Linked DNA regions of Nothobranchius furzeri. The protein of the gene in region 2 interacts with the protein of the main gene of each other region in a pairwise test. Links are inferred from orthologs where the notes say so. Each region holds a gene or a part of one and is shown on either strand. Other genes may lie near its edges.

Evidence for each region.
Region 1: the proteins of bccip (region 2) and rpl23 interact in binary tests that used the Homo sapiens proteins (3 or more experiments, as listed by UniProt). The link is inferred for Nothobranchius furzeri from reciprocal best matches to the Homo sapiens genes BCCIP and RPL23.

Annotation. Positions count from the first base shown.
Region 1 is NC_091758.1:12,992,678-12,996,583, reverse strand, and holds rpl23 (large ribosomal subunit protein uL14), read right to left. Parts: upstream 2,560-3,906; 5' UTR 2,456-2,559; coding exon 2,443-2,455; intron 1,993-2,442; coding exon 1,909-1,992; intron 1,618-1,908; coding exon 1,489-1,617; intron 1,239-1,488; coding exon 1,125-1,238; intron 781-1,124; coding exon 698-780; 3' UTR 667-697; downstream 1-666.
Region 2 is NC_091756.1:42,762,754-42,767,053, reverse strand, and holds the start of bccip (protein BCCIP homolog), read right to left. Parts: upstream 3,048-4,300; coding exon 2,907-3,047; intron 2,785-2,906; coding exon 2,710-2,784; intron 2,637-2,709; coding exon 2,556-2,636; intron 2,470-2,555; coding exon 2,383-2,469; intron 2,304-2,382; coding exon 2,116-2,303; intron 1-2,115. Other genes in the region: uros (uroporphyrinogen-III synthase), read left to right, coding at 3,154-3,242, 3,960-4,023, 4,104-4,187, 4,288-4,300. UniProt on the Homo sapiens protein: During interphase, required for microtubule organizing and anchoring activities. During mitosis, required for the organization and stabilization of the spindle pole.

The DNA.
Region 1 (3,906 bases), on a different chromosome or scaffold from region 2:
TGCATCAGGTCACTTCCTGCTCCTGGACTTACAGGAAGAGGCCACCTTCCTACACAGAGGTTAGGAAACAAATCATTTATAATCCAATCGGTCATGCGAGCATGCAGATCAGCTACCTGTGTGTGAGCGGTACTTGAAGGCATGTCAACACCTCATCCAGGTTATCGCTCTACAACTGGGCTATTAAATTCTGGGCCTAGAGGGCCGGTATCCAGCACCTTTTGGTTTTAACCCTGCTGCAACACAGCTGACCCCAGCAGCAGGTGATTCAACCACTGGATTTAGTGTTGGATTAGAGGAGGGGTGTCCAATCCTGGTCCTGGAGGGCCGGTATCCAGCAGGTTTTGTGGTTTTTCTGCTCCAACAGGCTTGATTCAGTGGTTGAAACACCTGTGCAGCAGCTCATCAGGCTCTGCAGAAGCCTATTAATTAGCTGCTGATTAAAATCAGGTGTGTTGAAACAGTTCAAACTAAAACATGCAGGATACCGGCCCTCCAGGACCAGGATTGGACACCCCTGGTAATGGCCCTGCTCTACACTAAAGCAGGCTGCGGTTGGTTCCTCCAGCCTTGTCTCCAGTACGATTATGCTTACGGCACCACCACATCCACATCACAGGGCGCCACACCCAACGTGACGTTAAATGAAGTCGCCAGGCCACTGGGTTGATGAACAGCTTTTATTGTAAACACAGTCTCAGGCTATGCTGCCGGCATTGGAAGCGATTCTGGGCCACAGGTCTGCACACTCCTTGGCCACTGGGCCTGTGATGGCTGAACCTGCAGGTAGAGACGAGACGTTACTGCGGTCCAAATGAAGCAGCAGGCTGAAAAGGCAGAAGGCTAGAAATGGGTTTGAGTTTGGTGGAGCAACATTTGTCTCATCCCTGATTGAGATCAGTCAGTCACAGAAGGTCTCTGCTGTCTCACCCACAGTGATGAAGTCATTCTGCCCTTCCTCGACAACTCACCCAGCCACTGAGCAGACCAAGCAAGTGCTTTTGGAAGGGGGCGCTTCACGCCACCAGCACTCTTAACCACACACAGATTTACCGTGGTGCGAAGACACTGACAGTCTACATCTCACAGAAACAGCAGCTAATGCCTTGAAACTAAAAACACACCTTTCATTTCTCCTTTGTTGTTCACAATAACACCTGCGTTGTCTTCAAAGTAGAGGAACACTCCATCTTTTCGCCGATACGACTTCCGCTGCCGTATCACCACCGCAGGATGCACTGGGAGAGGAGCAGTGGTGTTATCACAGGTGACTGCGAGGTGGAAACATGCAGCTGTGCCCCAAAAGCAGACTAATCGCTTCTCTGTAGTCGCACTTACGGACAACTGGCACATAAACATTTCTTTGAACGAAACTCAACTTGATCCAGCCGTGTCCATTCCCAAGAGAAGTACCCCCCTTACATGCACCACACTCGTTTTGTGTGTAACGGGGGACAGATCAAACCCAATGCAGCTGTTACCACTCACCCTTCTTCCTGAGCTCTGGTTTGCCTTTTTTGACTGTGGCCATGACCATGTCCCCCACTCCTGCAGCGGGGAGACGGTTCAGACGACCCTTGATGCCCTTCACAGAGATTATGTACAGGTTCTTAGCACCTGTGAGTCAGAAGGAAAACAAGCATGAAAACAGGATTACTGGAACTAAATGCCCAGACCCTCCCGCTCAACTACACAGTTCATTAAATAGCTCAAGTAATTTATAACATATTTGCCCGTTTTCACTTTCACACTTGAATAAAATAAGTGTTAGTGTAATTTTGAGAATACAAGTAGGTGTGTGTGTGGGACTGAAGGCCCCTTCCTCCAGTCCAGGCTGGATGTTAGGTGACCCAACAGGCATGAGGTGCGCCTTGAATCCAGCTTTTATACAGGGCAGGTAAGACGTACCTGTGTTATCTGCACAGTTGATGACTGCTCCCACTGGGAGACCCAGTGAGATGCGAAACTTCGCTCCAGACGAACCACCACGTCCTGCAACGAGAGGACCCTAATCAGTCCAAGGCTCCACCGGTGCTTGAAACTCCACACAGCCTCGGCTGTAGCCCAGCTTTAGCTAGCACTTCCTCTTCCGTCCACCTCGAGTTCACACCGGCTAGCTATTAGCTAGTCTACGGTAGTTAACTAGCTCCTGTTTTCTCTACTTGTCGATAAACAGCCGCGTAGTTTGACACAAACGTCTATTTCCAACCTGCAGCTCTAATGCAGTCCAGCTCGCCTTCACGGCCCTGAAGCAAACATGGCTCCGAGAACTGAAATGCAACAATGCTATCATCTCCGGATCATTAAAGCGTGAGAAAAACTCCGAACGAGCCACAGAAACGTGTGGTTTATTATCAATCTGTCCTAAACGAGCATCATTAGGAACTCTGGGTAAAACTAAAACAGCAGATGAAGGTGGATTTCATATGATGATAAACCTACCTCTCTTAGACATGGCTGCGGCAGGGAAAGAGAAAGGCAAAAAACGGAAGTAGACCTTATAAAGGTGAAGGAAACTACTTCCGGGTCACGTAGAGGAGCAGTGCGTATGAGCCTGGGGGGCGTGACTTTGTTTTTAAAACGTATTTAGTTTAAAAGTAGAGAATACTTTTATTATCTTTCTCAGATCCATTACTTCACAATTAAACACAATAAAAATTACAATATAATAAACGTTTAGAGACTCCCACGTTAGGATATAGTGTCATAAAACAACAACAACAATAAAATAATAATAATAATAATAATAATAATAATAATAATAATAATAATAATAATAATAATAAATGAAAAATGACCTGCACTTATATAGCACCTCTCAGAGTAAGGACTCCAAAGCGCTTTACACTACAGTGTATCACTCATCCATTCACACACACATTCATACACTGGTGGAGATGAGAGGCATTAATAATAACGACAACAATTTTAAAATTTCCTTAGGGGTAAAACTAAGGAAAATACCCATCCAGACATTTTAACGTTTAACAGACTATTTGAAGAAACAATCTTCAATACACATATTAAAGGAAGTCGTAAATCAAACGTTTTATCATTTTTCAGAGCGTCGTTGCTGGATTCTCAACAAACATTTGCAGTGGTCTATTTTCCACTAGATGTCAGTGTTTCATTACAGTTTTCTTCAGCCTGCCCCTGCTGAGAGCGATAGAGGAAGAAAAGAAACCAAGCAGGATGGTTGGGTTGTCCTGGAAATGGACCAGCAGCCCCACTGAGCTCCAGCAGTAAACGTGATAACTGGTGTTTGGAGGGAGGACGGCACAGGACGAATATGACAACCCAGACCCGAGGCCTGGGTTTAGTTTATTAGAGGCTGCAGTAGAGACACCTAAAATATGCAACACATACCTTTTCCAATCAAAGCAGGAAATTATAGTTTTGATGAATTAGAGACACGTGGAGTGACTGAATGAAAGTACCAGGGTTGTTTTCATCATCTGTTAGCTGAGGGAAGACATTATCCCCTGATAGCCAGCCACAATAAACCTATTATAACTCCTGGTAACACAATATCATTTAATGATCAGAGTGAATGACTAAAGCAATAGTTTGGTGATGAAAAATCTGATCATTAAGTAATGTGGTGTGTCAACTGAAGCAGTGATTATTAGCTGTAGCGGTGAGACAGCTGGGGCGGTGTTCCCAGTCTGCCTGAAAACAGAACAGAAGTCCAAAAACCACGTGAAATCATGAGAAACTAACCCTATATAAGTATAGCTAATTTAGGGGTCCAGTGCCGTTTGGGACAAATACATGTTGGTATAGTCAGCAGCAATGCTTATGGTTTGTATTTAGTCTGGAGGAAATGCTGCAGAAGCTGTTGTGTTGGCTCGTAGAATCGACGACTGCGGCCTGTAGGCTGAACCTGCTCCTGCTTTATCTTCTCAT
Region 2 (4,300 bases):
TCTCTGAAATCACCAAACTTATTTTTAGTTTTGCAGAATTAAATGTATTGAGGCACTGTTTCATTTCATTGATTTTCCCCACAGATCCCAAAGAAGGTTAGTGTTTAATCATTTATTTTAGGCAAAAGCTGTTTTCTTCTTGCACTGAGAAACGTCATAAGGACAGATTTAACTTCATGTAATTTTTGAACTATGTGCTTGCTGTAGTTTTCTGGGGCAGCAGCATCAGCACCAGAGATCTCAGCAGGTTCAACAAATGCATTAATAAAGCTATGAAAATTCATCTGGCAGAGCCTGTAGATGTTAGGGTCTGTGACGATCCATGAATAAACTGCTTTCATATATAAACACATCCTACTGAGACTGGAGCTATTTTATGACAGATTCATTCAGATCTGCCGTCAAAAGTAAGGTCATGTTCTACTTGACTGCACCTTTATGTAGAGAATAAATGTTTCACCCACATGTGCACATGATCATTACGACAAATGTCAATGTTGATGGATATTATTTTAAGTTCTGAGAGTTACTTTTTTTCCGTCTCTGGCACCGTGTTGTAGGGCTGTGTTGGCTGACGCAGCTCTGCAATATCGCGTGGACATCGGGGACAGTCCCACTGGACTGGCAGACCTGGGTAGTGGTTCCCTTATTTAAAAGGGGGACTGCAGGGTGTGTTCCAACTACAGGGGGATCACACTCCTGAGGCTTCCTGGTAAGTTCTATTCAGGGGTTCTGGAGAGGAGGGTCCGTTGGATTGTTGAACCTCAGATTCAGGAGGAGCAATGTGGTTTTCGTCCTGACTGTGGAACACTGGACCGGCTCTATACCCTTAGGGGGATCCTGGAGGGTGCGTGGGAATTTGCCCAACCAGTCTACATGTGTTTTGTGGATTTGGAGAAGGCGTTTGACCGTGTCCCTTGGGGGGCCCTGTGGGGGGTACTCCGGGAGTCTGGGGTACCAGGCCCTCTGATAGGGGCTGTTAGGTCCCTGTATGACCGGTGTCAGAGCTTGGTCTGCATTGCCGGCAGTAAGTCGGGCTCGTTCCCAGTGAGAGTTGGACTCCGCCAAGGCTGCCCTTTGTCACAGATTCTGTTCATAACCTTTATGGACAGGATTTCTAGGTGCAGCCAAGGTGTGGAGGGCATCCGTTTGGTGGCCTGAGGATCAGGTCTCTGCTTTTTGCAGATGACGTGGTCCTGTTGGCTTCATCAGATCGTGATCTTCAGCTTTCGCTGGAGCAGTTCGCAGCAGTGTGAAGCAGCTGGGATGAGAATCAGCTCCTCTAAATCTGAGACCATGGTCTTGATTCGGAAAAGGGTAGAATGCCTTCTCCAGGTCAGGGATGAGGTCCTGCCCCAAGTGGAGAAGTTTAAGTATCTCGGGGTCTTGTTCATGAGTGAGGGAAAACTGGAGCATGAGATCGATAGGCGGATTGGTGCTGCATCTGCAGTGATGCGGGCGTTGTACCGGTCTGTCCTGGTGAAGAGAGAGCTGAGTCAGAAGGCAAAGCTCTCGATTTACCGGTCGATCTACGTTCCTACCCTCACCTATGGTCATGAGCTTTGGGTAGTGACTGAAAGAACGAGATCGCGGATACAAGCGGCCGAAATGAGTTTTCTCCGAAGAGTGGCTGGGCTCTCCCGTAGAGATAGGGTGAGAAGCTTGGTCATTCAGGAGGGGCTCGGAGTAGACCCACTGCTCCTCCACATCAAGAGGAGCCAGTTGAGGTGGCTCAGGCATCTGGCCAGGATGCCTCCTGGACGCCTCCCTGGTGAGGTTTTCTGGGCACGTCCAACCGGGAGGAGACCTAAAGGTAGACCCAGGACACGGTGGAGGGACTATGTCTCTCACCTGGCCAGGGAACGCCTTGGGATTCCCCCGGAGGAGACCTGGCCCAAGTGGCTGTGGAGAGGGGAGTCTGGGCCTCTCGCCTTAAGCTACTGCCCCCGCGACCTGACTCCGGATAAGCGGATGAAAATGGATGGATGGATGGCACAATGTTCTTGTAGTGCTGTTTCTTTTTTGTTCTTCAGAGGAACTTCTTATTCTCTCTGGTGATTATTTGTTGATAGGAGCCTGTAAGTGGTTAGACTGGGCAGCAAAAGAAGCACTCACTGGAGCTGTGTATGCAGAGGGAGGGCGATCTGTGGAGGCACATTGATAAAGCGCTCACTCAGCAGAAGTCCCACAGGTTTGCTTGTGTCATTTAAGATCTGCTCCAGCTGTTCAGTCACACTGTGAGAAGCATTCTTCTCACACTGATCCAATATCAGCTCCTTGATGTCCTCCACACACCGCACGCCCTAAAAAAAAAGAAAAGCCACAACCTTCAAAATTAAGTTAAAAATTCACGTATTTTACTCATCTTCAGAGATTACCTACCTTTCTCTCTGTGAGGTTGAGCATAGCAATAAATCCAAAGACTTCATCCGGGTCATCATCATCACTGTCCTCTGGAACTTCAGCTTGCTAGAACCAGATGAAGGAGGAACGTAATCAGAACAGGGGATAAAATGCAGCGCCTCAAAGTTTGGGACTGGAAAAAAACGACTCACTTTGATGACGCTCCCAATATGATTCTGCTGGATGATGATGTCCGTCATCTCTGCTGTGTCTACACGCGCCTTCAGGAACAGCTGAGTCCAAACTAGTAAAGATTAGTGACAACTATTCGTGACGCTTATGTGACAACAACACACAGTTCTGCACCTGCTGCAAAAGCTTCTTAATGCCACTGAAGTCGTTGTTTGAAATCGCATGGGCTTCAAAATCCACCACGACCTCCTGCAAGTAGAGAAGAAAAAAAATATGCATTTTAAACCAAAAATGATTATGTCTTCATGATAACATCACGGACATGCTAGCTAGCGGGTAGAAAGGCCACGTGGGTTTTGTGGATTAGCCACCTCGTCGATTTCCTCCTCTGACGCCTCGCTGTCGTCCTCTCCAGACTCGCCGTCATCCTCCGGACTCTCATCCGAGCTGTTGTCGCTTTCTTCGGGATTCTCACCCAAACCCACTGCTCTCCTCTTAGCGGATGAGGCCATGATCAAGCGTGAAACCCGTGTATATTTAAGTAGGCGCTGCTAAGGTTAACGGATAGCAGGAAACTGGACACGTTCGGGCGCCATTTTGGCTCAAAATGACTGTGGAATGGGCGTACACCCGAGAAGATCCGAACAGACGTCGACTCCATGTTGGCTCACGCGACTGAACCATTTCCTAACACTGGGGAAAACGTTGTAAATAATATATTGGAATAAAATAGAAAATATGTCTCTAAAATATGTGACATAAACACTAACTTGCATTAGATGACCTATTTAAATGTTTAAAATGTAAATATAAAACATTTTCTAATTTTACATAGATTTGGGGAGACATTTATCGACAGGCAATTTTTGGACATCTTATTTTTAAATGCCAATGAAGTCGTCCGATGAACAGCTGAAGGTGTTCATTCTTATGCATGTATATATGTCGATGTTATGCAGTTATTTCGTCTTTCCAACCGCATATTGTTGCAAATATAATTGCGCAATTAATGTTAAACAAAAACTATTAACGTTTATAGCTGAAAATCGACGTATTTTTGGTTAAACTGGAACGTTATCGTGGCTAATCTGTCAGTGTGTTTTGCAACAACAACAACAGACAGACCGCAACAACAGACCGACGTGCCCAACTACGCTAAAGCGGATTTTACGATACAAGTTGACGTTATTGTTAGTTTATAATAGTTTAGTGTATAATCTTTCCTATTCAGGGATCGTGACTCAACAGTGTTGCTATCTGTAGGTTGCATGTGACCGTTTCTGGGTGTAGCTGAGCTACTTAAGTCTCCACACCCTCTGATTTAACTACTTTAAATTTCTGAAAGCAGCTGATACCTTTCTAACAGATGTCAAAACCCACCTTGTGTTATTGGCTCCGTTGAACTGTCTTTTATTCATTGACAGGATGCGTGTTTTGCTTCTTAAAGACCCCAGAGATGGAGAGTCTGGACCTGATCCTTACATTAAGGTAGAAACAGTTTAACCAAATCAATGACGTGGTTTTAACTAAACACACACTGCTTTGTTGCTATGCTTTTTACTCTACAGGAGCTGGAATCACGTGGGCACAAAGCAACCCTAATTCCAGTGTTGTCTTTTAAGTTTATCTCAGCAAACACCTTGTCAGATAAGGTAAATTAAATAACATTATCTGAACCAGTGTGTCATTTACCTAACTTTCTATGGCTGCACGTGTAAACCACTGATCATTTTAATGTATTTATTTCATAAGCTTCTTCAACCAG